Linked DNA regions of Caenorhabditis elegans. The protein of the gene in region 2 purifies or fractionates together with the protein of the main gene of each other region. This does not show direct contact. Each region holds a gene or a part of one and is shown on either strand. Other genes may lie near its edges.

The links.
Region 1: the proteins of F53H1.3 (region 2) and ZK1320.3 fractionate together in Caenorhabditis elegans (co-fractionation; one large-scale study listed by BioGRID). This does not show direct contact.

What each region holds. Positions count from the first base shown.
Region 1 is NC_003280.10:9,656,525-9,664,915, reverse strand, and holds ZK1320.3 (uncharacterized protein), read left to right. Parts: upstream 1-4,496; 5' UTR 4,497-4,500; coding exon 4,501-4,664; intron 4,665-4,857; coding exon 4,858-4,946; intron 4,947-5,045; coding exon 5,046-5,147; intron 5,148-5,192; coding exon 5,193-5,323; intron 5,324-5,394; coding exon 5,395-5,472; intron 5,473-5,568; coding exon 5,569-5,631; 3' UTR 5,632-5,670; downstream 5,671-8,391. Other genes in the region: ZK1320.5 (uncharacterized protein), read left to right, coding at 1-112, 174-371, 516-596, 649-763, 819-1,300; cyp-13A10 (Putative cytochrome P450 CYP13A10), read left to right, coding at 2,076-2,125, 2,169-2,636, 2,684-2,783, 2,830-3,129, 3,175-3,431, 3,479-3,622, 3,761-4,001; ZK1320.2 (uncharacterized protein), read left to right, coding at 5,918-6,081, 6,224-6,312, 6,418-6,519, 6,568-6,698, 6,782-6,859, 6,905-6,967; gstk-1 (Glutathione S-transferase kappa 1), read right to left, coding at 7,254-7,403, 7,455-7,916, 8,099-8,167.
Region 2 is NC_003282.8:1,325,638-1,334,200, forward strand, and holds the start of F53H1.3 (UDENN domain-containing protein), read left to right. Parts: upstream 1-3,524; 5' UTR 3,525-3,525; coding exon 3,526-3,621; intron 3,622-3,807; coding exon 3,808-3,929; intron 3,930-4,221; coding exon 4,222-4,366; intron 4,367-5,819; coding exon 5,820-5,925; intron 5,926-5,979; coding exon 5,980-6,119; intron 6,120-7,208; coding exon 7,209-7,474; intron 7,475-8,563. Other genes in the region: F53H1.4 (PHD-type domain-containing protein), read left to right, coding at 1,742-2,020.

The sequences.
Region 1 (8,391 bases), on a different chromosome or scaffold from region 2:
CCGTGCTATTCCAGCACTCACTGTGTTTTGGACAACTGTTGAACGGATAACGTACAATCGGAGTCCAACGATTCGAGAAAGTCCCAAGTTTCGATATGTGGCAGTTTTCCGGGTGGGTATCAATATTTTTATTACAATAAATATTAAATACAAATACTAAATACCTTTTATAGGTCATCGAAGTAGTGGTCTCCGTAATTATGGAGATGATTATTCGAGGAATCTATTTGAATAGTGATGATCAACTCAAAGAAGCTGCTGGACTTGAAGTTCTTCAATCTTCAAATGATGAAATTTCAATCAAAAGTTCACTCATCGCGAATGTATACTACGACTTCTATCACGGAATATTGTTTTTGCCATGTATTATAGTAAGTATCCTGTTTTGGCTAGTTTATATATTCAACAGAAAATAAAAATCCTATGTTTAGTTCCCTTAGAAAAAGTCTCACGCATGTGACGCAATTTCAACAAAACTTAAATAAACATATTATAATTATTATTTTGAATTTCAGATCTCGGTTCTCATGTTCAAATCGGCAAAAGGTTCTCACACTCGTGCCTGCCTACTCGGTGGAATGAGAAATGACCAGAAAGTGAGTTTTTTGAGGATTTATATTCTAGTTTTACATTTGACATCAATTTTAGATCCAAAATCTCAGTGGACAAATGACGTTTTTCAAAAATTCCTACATCATGCTGTACATCGCTTGTTTGGCCGACTTCATCTTGCATGTAATTGTCAAGAGATTTATAAATCTAGGTGAGTTTAATATGAAATAAAGATCAGAATAGTCTGAAAACTAAACTTCTTTCAGAAGATTCCACGCTTGATATGATGTACATCAATGCTCGATGCTTTCTTCCAATTGTTTACCCATTATCACTAATCGCTAACAACAAAAATCTCCGAATCGACTATTTCGGAAACTTCATTCTCTGTCGAAAAGCCAGAAATCTGCATAAAGAGTCCAAAGTCAAGGTCATTGCAACACGAGAATCACAAGAATCCATCATTGCCAACTTGAAAATGATCGGAATTCTCAGTGACGTGGATACCTCTCAGGGTGGCGCTGGTGCTGCAAGCCTCGCAATGATGGGAATGGGCGGAGGAGGTGCTCCAAGACCTCCCAGTGGAGGTCGAATGGCTTCTATATCCAAAGATCCTAATTCAATTACGTCTTCCGGAAGTCTAGCTAAGCAAAGTACAGCTTCAATGGGCAGTGGTGGAGCTTCGGGTATGATGATGTTCCACACGAGGCCTAAAAGTTCGGTACCATCGATGGGATCTGTTGGGTGATCAACATATAGATACTATGTATTTTAATTATTCGTTCATCGGCAATTCTAATAAATGTTATCTTTTTGAGTTTAAGTTTTTCCTGTCTATACATTCCTGTACCATATGATAGTGAGACATGTCTATATAAATGTCTGACTAGATCTCGTGAATGAATAACAAAAAGTTGGTTATTGGCCATCTATCATAACAAAATAGCAAAGTTAATCAAATAATTGAAACAGATCAGAGCACAATTTGTGTTAAATATCAACAGCAGGGTTAGGTAAAACTTTCGGGTTAGGAATACATTAATATCTAGTCATTTCAACCACATTTTTATATACATATGAAAGTACGTTTGAAAATTTGCTGACTTATTGTAAGATGTGCTTGTTATTTTATCAAAAATACTTGATTTTTTCTGGTTTCCACTAGATTTGACTTTCTTGCGCAATATGACACAAAGCCTTGCCCACAAAAATGCCTGGCAATGTTACTTCCAGAGTTGCTAAACTAAATTAAGTTAATCGGTGATTTCTTCAAATCTGCAGACCAAACTCCAGAAACTGGCTACAGGATAGACTAGAGTTAGTGGTCTTGATATCATCATTGTAATCCAATTACTCACTGATTCTGCGCAAGGAGTCACAAAATCGTCGAGACGGAGACACAAAAAGTGTGTCAGATAGTTGCCGTTTTTGTGTCCGATTTCTTGTAAATATAAAAACAAATTTTATTTTTGGAAATATTTGTTTAAAATATACAGACTTCGTTTACAAGAAAATACAACTAAATGAGTGTTATTTTACTTGCTATTCCAACTTTGTTCATTGGTTTTATCAGGTATTTTTTATTTATTTCTCAAAGCTAAATATATTTATTTAAGTTACTACCTCTGGATATGGACATATTGGAGACGGCGTGGTATCCCTGGACCTCTAGGTTATCCATTAGTTGGAAGTTTTCCAAAAACTCTCAAATCAGAATATCCTCAATACTTACAAATCAGAGATTGGACAAAACTTTATGGTCCAATATATGGATACACTGAAGGAACCATTAAAACTCTAATTGTTTCTGATATCGACATTGTTCGTCAAATTTTTGTTGAGCAGTATGACAACTTCTATGGTAGAAAACTGAATCCAATTCAAGGTGATCCGGAAAAAGACGAGAGAACTAACTTGTTCTCGGCTCAAGGATTTAGATGGAAAAGGCTCAGAGCTATATCTAGTCCTACTTTTTCGAATAACAGTTTGAGAAAAATCAATGTAACTGTGGAAGACAGTGCGATGGAATTATTGAGACATATTGAAGAACAAACTTCGGAGGGACAACAAATTGATATGTTACAGTGAGTTTTCGATGTATTGGAAAAGTAATTTAAATTTTAAATTACAGATTCTACCAAGAGTTCACAATGGATACTATAGGACGAATTGCAATGGGTCAGACCGACTCGCAAATGTTCAAAAATCCACTTTTGAAGTTTGTCAGAGCGGTTCGTTTTGGTACTATTACCAGTGAAATTCAACATATATTTCCAGATATTCGGAGATAATCGAAAGCATATTCCCCTCATCGGTGGAGTTTTTCCTACTCTTGCTCAAGTTTTTCGATTTTTTATGTTGAAATTTCCATTGTTGGGAGCAGCCAATTTCATTCACGTCAACAAAACTGTTGTGACAGCCGTTCAAAATCGTATAGATCAGAGGGAGAATGATAGAAAAAATGGAATTGAAATCGGAGAGCCACAGGATTTTATCGATTTATTTTTGGAAGCAAGAGCAGATGATGTGGAGCATTTTCAAGAGAATAATGGGGATTTTTCAAAGACTAGTAGCTATGTGAGTTTCAGGAGAAAAATTATTCCTGAATTTAAAAAATTGCAGGGAAACCGTCAACTAACAACTCAAGAAATAGTCGGTCAGTGTCTCGTTTTTTTGATTGCTGGCTTCGATACAACTGCTCTATCCTTATCCTATACTACATTTCTCCTAGCAACACATCCAGAAGTTCAAAAGAAATTACAAGAAGAAATAGAACGAGAATGCATAGAACCATCAATTTCATTTGATCATCTCTCAAAACTAAAATACATGGATTGTATTATCAAAGAGACTTTACGTTTGTACCCTTTGGGAACAATGTAGGAGTTTTAAATTTATACTTCACATAAAAAAACAATTATTCCAGGGCGAACTCTCGGAGATGCATGAGAGCCACTAAATTGGGAAATGTAGAAGTTGAAGTTGGAACAATGGTTCAAGTAGATACTTGGAGTCTTCATACTGATACAAAGATTTGGGGAGATGATGCGAAGGAGTTCAAGCCAGAAAGGTTTTTTTTTCAAAATTAAAAAATATATTCAGATGTATTATTGGCTTAATTTTTGAAAGTTTTAAAAAGCGAATCACTTTGGAGAGTATTCCACCTTTTAAATTATTTAGTAAGAGATCCTACTAGTTATTATTTCAGATGGCTTGACCCCAACTGTGACCAAGTTTTCCAAAAAGGAGGATATATTTCATTCGGATTAGGACCTCGTCAGTGCGTTGGAATGCGATTGGCTTATATGGAGGAAAAGATGCTCTTGGCTCATATTCTTAGAAAATATACATTTGAAGTTGGCACCAAGACAGAAATCCCATTGAAATTAGTTGGAAGAGCCACGACTCAACCGGAAACTGTTTGGATGCATTTGAAGCAAAGGATATGAACTCAATAATTTTCGACCCTCTTTGTTTGTATTTTAGTCATCGAAAAAGCTTTCAAATAAAACTTTCTTGCTTTTTAGAGTCTGAAAATGTTCAGCCTATTTTCTGAGAAACTCGTCTATCCTTTAATTGAAGAACAATTTTGAAAAACATATCAGACTAATTTGGTATTTCTACTAATTTTACTCGCATAAACTTTTGAATCATCTGATTGTGAGCAATATTGGATCAAGAAATCAGTTTTGTTAAGCTGCTGGCTCCCCGGAATCAATGCTCATAAACTTATCTGTAAACAACTTGTCCTTTAACTTTTCCAGTGATATCATTAGTGCTTTCCCATTTTTCTATTTAATATTCTTATCACTATAACTGAATGTCAAAAGAAAACGCTCATAATTTAAAAAACGTCAGTTTTAGACTGATAACTCTCTCCACAATTCATACTAATTTGACCATTTGCTACTTAAATTTTTTGAAGCATATATTTATATTTTCAGGAGAATGAAGTTTCTTCTTATTGCTTGTTTGGCAGTTCCTGCAATCTTAGCTCAACAGACGTCTGCTCCAGGTGGAAATTTGTGTACTTATCCTCCACAAGGAGATGAATCAAACCAAAAGGCTGTTCCTATTCAGGACTTCAGAACGTCTGGATTAGATTTCGTTAGGTCAGTTTATGTTCAAAAATTGGAACAGCTTTAGTAATGATTGGTTTAGGCCGCGGCCAAGTTATGTTGAGCCAACTCTTGATGGTCTTACTAGTTAGACCCAGAAAAATACTTTGGCAACAGTGGGATACTAAACGATTACCAATTTTTGAACCACATAAATAGCCGAATATCTTAATTTAAAAAGTTTCAGACCAAATTGGTGCATCACCCACTGTGCTGACCGCAAATCTGTCAAAGCTGCTGTTCGCTTCCAATTTGCCAATCAGTCAACTGCAGTCCGTAAGTTAACATAGATCAGTACACTAAAGTACATGTAAAAACATTTGGAACATTATGAAAATACCAGTAAACATCCTAGAATTTAATGGGAATTTTCAGCAACCTACAAAGTTCGCCGTACTTTCACCCGTTATTCAGGAATGAAGGTTCATGCTGAGCTGATCAGCGGAAACCCGACCAAGCGTGACGATGATCCTTTTAGTAAGTGATTTCATCTTATGGTATAAATACATGTCAAAATTTCAGACTTCTGTATGGACGATGCTGTGTCGGCCCAGATTGATACTATTGTCAACACCTACAATGACATCGAAACCATGTCAGAAGCCCTCAACTTCTATATCAACAAGCCAGGATGGGCGTATATTATTTACGATGTAAGTTACACAAGTTTTTTTTTGGAAAATATATAGGTGTCTACTATTTCTACTTGAATACATATATTCAGATGGGAGTACCACCAAGCATCATTGAGACTGACAATGTCAAACACGATATGAACTACTGTGAGAAGTCTTCTAACAAGGTAAGTACTCAGAAAATGTTGTAAAATGCAACAAAACCAGACCTGCAAGTATCCGAATTAGAAATTAGACCTCACCAAATTTTACAAATTTTTCAGCAAATGCCGGATGGAACCTACATGACATATCAAGTATTCGCAGGACTTATCAAGGCTAATTGATTTTTTTCTTTTAATTTTTAATAAACGATTTAACTATTTAAAGTTTTACATTGAATATTTGATTCTTATTATTCTCAAAATGAAATCATTAGTGATTTTTCAATATTTAATTTTCCACTCTTTATTTTCCGTTATCAACACATTCAACTGGCAAAAGAGGAGGCCGGTGATGTGGAAAATTTCAGTTTTTAACTGATAACTTCCGATAATTTGACCATTTGCTACTCGCTTTGAAACGTTTTTGAGTATAGTTTCCTTTTCATTTTTATCGAGAGTTTTTAGGAAAATGAAGCTTCTTCTCCTTGCCTGCTTAGCAGTTCCAGCAATTTTTGCTCAACAAACTTCTGCTCCAGGAGGAAATTTGTGCAATTATACTCCAGTTGGAGATGAATCCACACAGGATGCAGTTCCAATTCAAGATTTCCGATCCTCTGGATTGGATTTTGTGAGGTTAGTATATTCCTTTTCAAGATTAAATTAAGAATTCATGTAAAGTCAGAGTGTCTGATCTAGAATTGTTTTATCCTTTTAATCAATAATTTTAAATTTAATTATTCAAATCCAGATGAAAAAATCCATTTCTACTTTTCAGACCAAATTGGTGCATCACTCACTGTGCTGACCGCAAATCCGTCAAGGTTGCTGCACGTTTCCAATTTGCCAATCAGTCAACTGCAGTTCGTAAGTTAGCGTTCAAAAAATATTGAAAGCCACTTCCTAGTTTTGAAAAATATAATTGAAATAAAATATGTGGAACTTTATCTAACTCATTTTCATATATTTCAGCAACCTACAATGTTCGCCGTCACTACACCCGTAAATCTGGAGTCAAGGTTCATGCTGAGCTGATCAGCGGCACTCCAACCAAGCGCGATGATGATGATTTCAGTGAGCTCCTCTTTTTCTAGAGTAAACCTGAAATTCATTTGTTTTCAGATTTCTGCATCGACGACACTGTTTCTGCAACAATCGATACGGTTGTTAAGACTTACAATGACATCGAAACCATGTCAGAGGCTCTCAACTTCTATATCAATAAGCCAGGATGGGCTTATGTCATCTATGATGTAAGTCATATCAGAATCAGAATTGGCTCACTGCTGATAAAATCCAAAAATTCAAATCCGAACTTTAACCCTATCCATTTAAGATGGGAGTTCCACCAAGCGTCATTGGAACCGACAATGTCAAGCAAGATATGAACTACTGCGAGAAGTTTGCCCAAAAGGTACACTTTTATTATCTAAAGTAGATAAAGCTTTTCTACTTTCAGCAAATGCCGGATGGAACCTGGGGTTTGTATCAAGTGTTCGCCGGATTGATCAAGGCCAACTGATTTGTGATTTTTTGGGTTTTTCCCACAACTAACAGTGCAGATGTAATTTGAATAAAACTTTGAACATATAATTAATTTTCTGGAATATTTTACAGTTCGTAAAATTGAAAAGTAACCTAGAGTGCAGCCAACTAAAAGATTTTAGATTCAAATCTTTTTGGAATTTTTCTTTGTAGTTTTTGAATCTATGATTATGTCGATTGTCAGACTGTTTCAGAGAGAGTTAATTAAAAATATTTACCCAATTTATTCATATATTTAGCGCATCTTATCTTACAACAAATATTTAAAGTTTTGATTTCTGGCCAAAAAGTCGGTCTGGAAGCGGTTGTGGCTGTTGAAGAAGGTCGGCAATCAAATGGAAACGGTCTGATCCAAAGAATGAATGCTCCGATCCATCTTCTGTGTGCACATTGATCCATGGAGCACCATATGCCTGAAAAAGTAAAATTGCCAATTTTTTTTAATTCAAAGATGAATAACTTACCATCAAATCAACTCCCTTATTCGTATTCTCCATCAAAATCTTTATATATTTCTCATCCTTGCTCTTTTCCACAATTTGCTCCGGATTCTTAACACCAACTGCCTTCAATACTTCCACAAAGTCTTGATCCTCAAAAATCTTCTCACTTCGAGACCACAATCTGACCCACATTTCCCGAGCTGCTCGGAGCATCAGCTCCTTATCCTGCTCCTGCAAAACCAACAAAACCTTCATTGCTCCAGTAGTACGGTACTTTTTGATCCATTCCATGAACAATGGTGGTGGAGTCAATGGAATATCCCAGAACTTTGCAGTTCGCTTCAAATCAGTCATCATCATAATTGATCGAGCTGGGAGCATTGCTGGAGGACGATTTCCTGATTCTTTCATGACGGCTCCGAGGAAAAATGGAATGTAACGGATTGTTACTCCTTTCCATTGGGTTTCCAGTTTTTGGAAGACCTGCAATTTATCATTGCATAATTTCTATAACTATAATAAATTTACGAATTTTAAAACTAAAAAATATTATTGTACCGTAACACTGTTCAAAAAAAATTCCTGACTTCCTAGGATAAGAGAACCATCGACACATGCGTACAACCACAGTTTTTTATGTAATATCGTATATAAAAAAAACCAACCTCAAAAGCAATATAACTGTACGGAGAAATCACGTCAAAATAAAAGTCGATACGTGGAAGTTTTGGCATTTTCCAAAATTAATTCGAATTTTTGGGCACGGCGAACGGAAATCTGCAAGACAAAAATCCGTAAGTTGAGTGTAGATTTGGAAAAGATGTTTTGAAAAATATTCGCGGGAACGATAAAGTAGATCAAAGTTATATTTTCTGCAATTTTTCTTTGAGAACCCGTTTAAAAAATTAAATAAAAATTGCACAAACAACCGTGTGGTTTTATAAGTTTTCGAGACAAC
Region 2 (8,563 bases):
TTCCGAAAAAAATTGATTGAACAATTTAGGACTTTTCCGACTTTTTATGGAAAAAAATTCAAAAAATTATGGTTCTTTTCCGATTTTTACGAATATATTGGAAATTTTTTGGATTTTGGAAAAACAAAGGAAAAAACGGAAAATATAGGATTTTCGACTTTTTTTTTCCGAAAAAAGTCAATTTTTGGTTCTTTCCTTTTTTTTCAGGAAAAAATTGGAAAATTTCTGGGTTTTCCCGACTTTTTATGAAAAAAATTCAAAAATTTTGGATTTTTCAGTTTTTTTCCGGAGAAAGAGCAAAAATTTGGGGTTTGCCGGATTTTTTCCGACGAAAATTGGAAAAATTATGGATTTTTCCGATTTTTTCCGAAAAAAACGGAACATTTTAGGTCTTTTCCGACTTTTTATGGAAAAAAAATTCAAAAAATTATGGTTCTTTTCCGATTTTTACGAATATATTGGAAAATTTCTGGATTTTTCGATTTTTTTTTCCGGAAAAATTGACCAATTTTTAGTTTTTTCACCCTCTTTTCCAGAGAAAAATTGGAAAAAAAACTGATTTGCTACCGAAGAAATTGAAAAAATTATGGATTTTTCGACTTTTTTTCAGAAAAAATTGGAATATTTTTGAATTTTGGAAGATTCGTCTAAAATTAGAAATTTTTCGAAAATATCTATTCCCAAATTTTCCATTTGTTGAGCAAAATTTTGTGAGTTTTGCGAAAAACTGGGTTTTACTGGATTTTTTCCCAAAAAAATTGGAAAAATTATGGATTTTAGAAAAACAAAGGAAAAAACGACGGAAAATATAGAATTTTCGACTTTTTTCCGAAAAAAAATTGAACAATTTTTGGTTCTTTCCATTTTTCTTTTCCGGAAAAAAGGTCAATTTTTGGGTTTTCTAACTGTTTTACCAAAAAATTGGAAATTTTTTGATTTTGGAAAAACAAATGAAAAAACGGAAAATATAGGATTTTAGACTTAAAAAAAATCAATTTTTGGTTCTTTCCATTTTTTTTTTTGCCGGAAAAAATTGGAAAATTTCTGAGTTTTCCCGACTTTTTATGAAAAAAATTCAAAAATTTTGGATTTTTCAGTTTTTTTCCGGAAATATTAAACAATTTTTTTTCTCACCCTTTTTTTCAGAGAAAAATTGGCAAAAAAAAACTGATTTGTTACGGAAGAAATTGACAAAAAATAGATTTTTCGACTTTATTTCCGGAAAAAATTGAAAATGTTTGGATTTTTTGGAAGATTCGTCTAAAATTAGAAATTTTCAGCCAATAAAATTTAGACAATTTCTCGAAAATATATGTATTTCCAAATGTTCCTTTTTTTTGAGCAAAAACTTGTGAATTTTCATTCAATTTGTCCAGAAAATCAATTTTTCCGTAATTTTTCCGCTACTTTGAAAAAAAATTAGGTCTAACAAAAACCTACAGTAACCCACAGGTTTTCGTGGCGGGACCCAATTTTTTAGACATTGCGCAAAGTAGGACAAAGTTATACTGAACTAAATTTCCCTGTATATTGTCTGTGACTTGTGTGTTTCTCTATCCGAATTGATGGTTTGAATAGTGGTATTCTCGGCTGAAACATGCAATAAATACCGTATTCCAACTAACAATTTGTGCAATAGAGCACATTTGTCACCGGGGATGCGGAAGCTATGCCCAATTTTTCAATTTTTTGTTAAAAACTTGAGAATTTTTCCAGAAAATCAATTTTTCCAAATTTTCAGGAAGTGCTGGAGCTGTTCAACTCGATCGAACGTGCCAATCCTCGACTCTACAAGACCCTGCAACAAATTCCCGGCCAATCCCGTTCGACACGTAACGCTCAACACGAGAATCGCTCTCTGCCGGATATTGAGCAAGATTTGGACGTTTACACGTCTGCCGAGCAGCTTCACGAGCATTTGAGCCAATTCTTCCGTCATGCACGTGGATACATTGAGACTCATAACCCAAGAAAGTTGGATGATCTTGATGAGCTCATTTCTGAACTCAATTTTATGTGATTTATTTCGGAATACACTGAAAAATCTTCTTTTTTTTTTGAAAGTGTATCATTTTTATTGTGAAAAGTGTCCTAAAATGCAGTTGAAATGTTGAAAAATCGGTTTTTTAAATTAAAAATTTAAATTTTCGGAATTTTTTCCCAAAAAAATTGAATATTTTAAATTTTCCGATTTTTTTTCCAAAAAATTCGAATTTTTCAAATAAAAATTTCCAAAAATATGAATTTAATTTTTTTTTTGAAAAAATTCGAAATTTTTCGACTTTTATTTGCAAATTTGGAGATTTTTCCAGTTTTCGCAGAATTTTTTGATATTTTTTCTACATTTTTTACTTTTTTCCCTATTTTCTCACTATTTAATCCCAAAAAAAACTATCAATTTCTTATTTTTCTCACTTTTTCACAGATTCTCCAAATTTTCCTGTCCCTTTAAGATTTTTTTTCACCCCCCGGCAACGAGTTTTGGCATTTTTTTGAAATTTTTCATCATGGCATTCGATCATTTTATCTAATTTATTGTAATTTTTTGGGTGAGAACCCCCTCATTTTTCGATTGTAAAACGTTGAAATAAAGTTGGCACACGTAATAATGAAGTTACAGTAATCCAGCGGTGGGTCTCGAGTGGAAAACTTGGAAATTTTGAAATTTCCGGTTATTTTTTGCTGGAAATTGTAGGTTTTCAATGGAAAGAATTCAATTTGAAGTGAATTTCACAAAGAATTCGAAAACATGGAAAATACACAAATTCCGGAAATTTTCTGGGTCTCGAGTGTAAAACTTCAAAAATTTGAATTTCCAGGTTAATTTCGCTGATAAAGACAACTTTTCTGGTGAGAAACTCGCGACTTAGGATGAAAATTGTGGTAAATATTCAACAATTTTGGAATTTTTTGGGTCTCGAGTGGAAAATACAAAAATAATTAGATTTTTCGATTATTTTATTCTAAACATTGTGTTATAATCGTTTAAACAAACCATTTGCTTAATTTTAACGACAATTTTCGTTAAAAATATCTAAATTAAGCTTGAAAACATTTTTTTTTAACAGAAAAAACATTTGCGCGTCAATTAAAGTGTATTGTATGCAATGCGTACTTTTTCGCTTACCGTAGTTAGCACATATTTAAATAGACATTCAATTTGAATTATTCGTGAAATTCATTTGTTTGGTATAATCTATCTGATTTCAAATCTTGCTTAAACTTTCGGATTCGGCTGAAAATCCCCCGAAAATCCCCTGAAAATCGGTTAAAACCAAAACAATGCAAGTGCGCTCCATCGCACCACCGAGAGAGCACGCATTCCGTGGAGTGCGCGAGATGACGAGAGAGACGGAACCGGTTTCTTTGTTCGTTTTTGCCGATTTTGCGCCGTTTTTCATGAATTTTCCAGTTTTTTTCGCTGAAAATCAGCTAATTTATCGATTTTCTCACCATTTTTACCCTAAAAATCTTGAAAATCCACCTAAAAAGCACAGAAAACCTGGAATCTTGAAAATTTTCAGAATGGAGCCGGATATTGAGCCATGGGACCGGTTTCGCGACTGGCTTCACTGCATTTGTGTGGTCACGTTTGATTTGGAGCTTGGACAGGCGTTGGAAGTGAGGATTTGCAGAAAAACTGAAAAAAAAATGCAGAAAAATCAAAAAATCCCGGATTTTCTGACTTTTCGCTGCGAGACCCGGAAATTTTCGCATTTTTTAAAATGATTAATGTGATTATACTCAAATCAAAGCTCTCGACGAGCTGAGCACGATTTTGACAAAAAAAAAATCTGGTTTTTTCAGGTAATCTACCCAGGAGACGCAATTCTATCGAACACTGAAAAAATCAATATCTGCTATTTGGCATTTCCAGACTCGAATTCCAGTAATGCACGAGACACAAATTTTCATTTCAGGATACGCAGGTGATTTTTTGAGATTAAAAATTTCGGAAAAAAATATTTTTTTTTCAAATTTTGAGAAAAAATTTTTTTGGCTGAAATCTGAAAATTTGCGAGTGATTTCCGTGTTCAGCTCACCGAGAGCTTTGATTTAAGTATAATTATGACCTACTTTGCTGAATTTTGAAGAAAATTGGGTTTTCGTGGCGGGACCCAACTTTTTTCAAATTTCAGCAAACTAGGTCATGTTTATACTCATTTTGAAGCTTTAAGTGAGCTGAATTCAATGCAAATACTCAAAATTAAAAATTTTCAGAGCAATCAGTGACGTCAGAGACTGCCAAAAGTCGTTTGTCGACAAATCTCCGACGTCTCTACCCTTTGATACACACTATTTATACGGTTTTGTGCATTTTCGGCAATGCAAAGACCCGACAATTCATCGAGGATATTATCAGAAGGTTCATAACCGGAACGCAATAAAATTGGCGAAAATTTGAGTGAAAATTCGAGTTTTTCCCCGCTAAAATTCACTTTTTTCCGGAAAAATGGAACAATTTTTAGTATTTTCCCCTTTTTTTTGGAAAAAACGGAATTTTTTAAATGTTCGTCTTTTGCCAAAAAAAGGGTAAAACTATGGATTGTCGGCTTTTTTTCCAGAAAAATGGAAAATTTTAGGCTTTTCAATTTTTTAAAAAGGAAATTCGACAAATTGTCACAATTTTATGACCTTTCCCAGAAAAATTGGAATTATTAAGCTTTTAAGACGTTTTTTTCAGTTTTACTGGCATTTTCTTATTAATCTAGATGAGAGCTTCAATTTAAGTATAAATATGGCGTATTTTACGCAAATTTTAAACAAAATTGGGTCTCGTCACAAAATTCTACAGTAACCCACAGGTTTTCGTGGTGGGACCCAATTTTTTCAGACTTTGCGCAAAGTAGGTCAAAGTTATACGGTAACTCGAAAACAATATTGTCTGTGACTTGTGTGTTTTTCTATCCGAATTGATGGTTTGAATAGTGGTATTCTCGGCTGAAATATGCAATAAATACCGTTTTCCAACCAACAATTCGGTGCAATAGAGCACATTTGTCACCGGGGATGCGGAAGCTATGCCCAAATTTTCATTTAGCGCGGAAATTTGGCTGTTTTCGGGTGTAAAGTAGAAAATTTGGAAATTTCGACATTAAAATTTATTATAAAATTTGAAAAAAAAACCCATAAAAACCCTTTTTTCTGACAATTTTCTGTTTTTTTTAAATCCCAGTTTCCGAGGAAAGCTATAAATTTGGGTACGGTAACTCGGAATTTATGATGTTTTTTTTTTAAGCTGTAAAAACTGAAAAATTCTGCTCAATTTCCAATTTTTTGTTGAAAACCTAGTGGTTTCTTGGATTGTTCTAATTTTTAATCAAAATCCTGCTGAAAATTAGAATTTTTAGCTTTTCCGCTTGTTTTTCGGAATTTTTTGTGGCTTTTTCCAGGTAAAAAATCCGTTTTTTACGGAAAAAACGGCAAATTTTTGAATTTTTCGATGTTTTTCCCATGAAAATCAAAAAATTTGTATTTTTTGTTTTTTTTATAGGAAATTCGAATAGTTTTTTTTTTCGTGGCGAGACCCAACTTTTTCAGACTTTGCGCAAAGTAGGTCAAAATTGAACGGCAACTGAACTGAATTTCCCTATATATTGTCTGTGACTTGTGTGTTTCTCTATCCGAATTGATGGTTTGAATAGTGGTATTCTCGGCTGAAATATGCAATAAATACCGTATTCCAACCAACAATTTGTGCAATAGAGCACATTTGTCACTAGAGATGCGGAAGCTATGCCCAAATTTTCCATTTCTCAGCCTGAAAACTTGGCTGAAAATCCATTCCTTTTTTTTTTTAGCTAATTTTCTATTTCCAGAGCATCGTCCTAATGTCAGTGCTCCCACTGTTTTCCTTGTTCTACTCAGTTACCGCCCGCATCGCTGAGCATTTTTTTGAAAGTGGAGAAGCAGCAATTGAAGCAGGTAGCCGCCACCTGAAATTGGAAAAAAAAACTAAAATTTTCTGAAATTTTCCAGCCTGCCATCACATTGACACGTGGCAACAGCCGCACGCTGGTCGGACTATTGAGTTACCGTTGCTCGGTACTTTAATCAGTTGCCGCCTACCGGCCGCCTGTGATCTACCATATGAATTCCGGCTTGATGGACATGTTGAGGTAGCTAAAATTGGAAAAAATTGGAAAAAAAAAACTCGAAAAATTGAACATTTTTGGTCTGAAAAAATGTCCGGAATCTATCAGAAAATTGAAATAAATAGAGAATTGTGAAATTTTTAGCCGAAAAATTCTTATTTCTAGATATTTTTTGAAGAATATTCCAATGATGTTCCAGAATCTTTGAATTTTTTTTTAAATTTAAGAAAATCACAAAAATTTCAGAATTTTAATTCTATAAGTTTTCGAAAAAGAAAATTTCTTCAAAAAATCAGAAAATATGCTGAAAATTAACGAAAAATTGGAGATAATTTATTACAAAAATTTTCAGAAATTAAAAAAACAAAACTGAAAAATCTAAAATATTATCCAAAAAGAAGTGTATTATAAATTCACTAAAAATCTCAAAAAATCCAAAATTTATCAGAAAATTTAGAGAAATTCACTAGAAATTGCGTAAATTTCTGAAAATTCGAAATATTATCAAAATTTGGACAAAAAAATCGCAAAAACCCCCAAAACTATCGGGCAATTGTGAAAATTTCAGAAAAAAAACTCAAAAATTTAAGAGCTTTAATTCTAGAAATTTTCGAAAAATTCCAAAAAAATCACAAAATTTTTCAAAAAATTAAAAAAAAAATTTGAAATCTCGAGAAATCCAAAATTTTTCAGAAAATTTTCAAAAATTTTTTGAAAAAATTTGAGAAAATCCTTCAAAAACCTATAATTTTATTAGTTTCCTAAACTTTTTTCAAAAAGTCTTTAAAAATCCCCATATTTTTTGTTGTTGTAAAACACCGAAAATTCTAGAAGTTTTTTGCAAAAAAAATCAGACAAAAGCTCAAAATTAACGAAAATTTTAGAAAATCTTTGAAAATTCCAGAAATGTTTAGAGTTTTCTAAAATTATTTCGAAAAATCTCAGAAATTCTCTAAAAAAATCCACAATATCGAAAATCGAAAAATCTTCAGCAAAATTTTTGTAGTGTAATGTGTCAAAAATTTTCAAAACTCGTATTAAAATACAAAAAAAAAATCGATTTTCCCACAATTTTTCCCTCCAAAACCACTCAAATTTTTGCTACTATTTCAGCTATCAGACGATGATTCTCAACGCCTTGTCCGTCCAGATTTCACTACATCAATTGTACAGCACGTCCATCATTTGCCACTGCTCTGGGAGCTTGTACTGCTCGGCGAGCCCCTTCTCATCGTTGCTCCGACGCCATCCATCACTTCTGCTTTAGTTCAGTCAATCGTTGGATTACTGTCACCTCTGAGGATTGTCAACGATTTTCGACCGTATTTTACGATTCATGATTCGGAATTTCGAGAATATTCGTCGAAAAGTCGATCGCCGTTAGTTTTTATGCTGAAAATCCTTTTTTGATTTTTTCTTCAAAAATCAGCGAAAACTCGGCTTGTGCCATTTCTCAAATTTTTAGGCCAAAGGATTTATTAAAATCTGAATATTTCGACAAAAATATTGAAAAATAAAATTTTCCAGAGAGGAATGCCATAAATTTGGGTACGGTAACTCGGCAACTGGGCAATTTTCGAATTTTTCAGTTTTTATTTTTAAAAAGCTGTAAAAACTGGAAAATTCGAGTTTCAATCGGCCCCCCGGCCCAAGCAGTTACCGATTGAGCCAGGGAGGATGAGGAAATCCTAGGTCCTCGGTGACTGCGACAAAAATGTTGTTTGTTTTTTCTGGACCTTTTTTTTCCTTTTTTTTTTTGGGATGAAAAAATTCGCAAAAAGTTTTCCCGTGGTGGAGAGTTGAACTCATTTTTTGTGCTAAAAATCCGGATTTTTTCATTCAAAAATCAGCGAAAACCCAGCTTGTGTCATTTTTCCAATTTTTACGCCAAAAGATTTGTTCAAAACTGAAAATTTCGACAAAAATATTGGACAATTTGATTTTATAGATTCCGTAACTCGGTAATTGCAAAAACTGTCGAATTTTCCAGTTTTTTACATAAAAAAAATGTAAAAAGTGAAAAACTTTGGCCAAATTTCCAATTTTTTGGTGAAACCCAAAAATTAACATAGCTTTTGATATAATTTTCTCAAAATCCTGCTGAAATTTTGAATTTTTAGCTTTTCCGCTTGATTTTCGGACTTTTTTCAGAAAAAAATTGAAAAACTTATGGGCTTTTCCGATTTTTCACGACGGTAAACGGCAAATACGGTTTTAAGAGTTTTTTTTTGGAAAAAAAAACGAAAGTATCAAGAATTTGAGCATAAAAATGACGTAGTTTGCGCAAATTTGTTTTTGGGTCTTGTCACAAAAACCCACAGTAACCCACAGGTTTTCGTGGCGAGACCCGAATTCAGACTTTGCGCAAAGTAGGACAAAATAATACGGCAACTGAACTAAATTTCCCTGTATATTTTCTGTGACTTGTGTGTTTCTCTATCCGAATTGATGGTTTGAATAGTGGTATT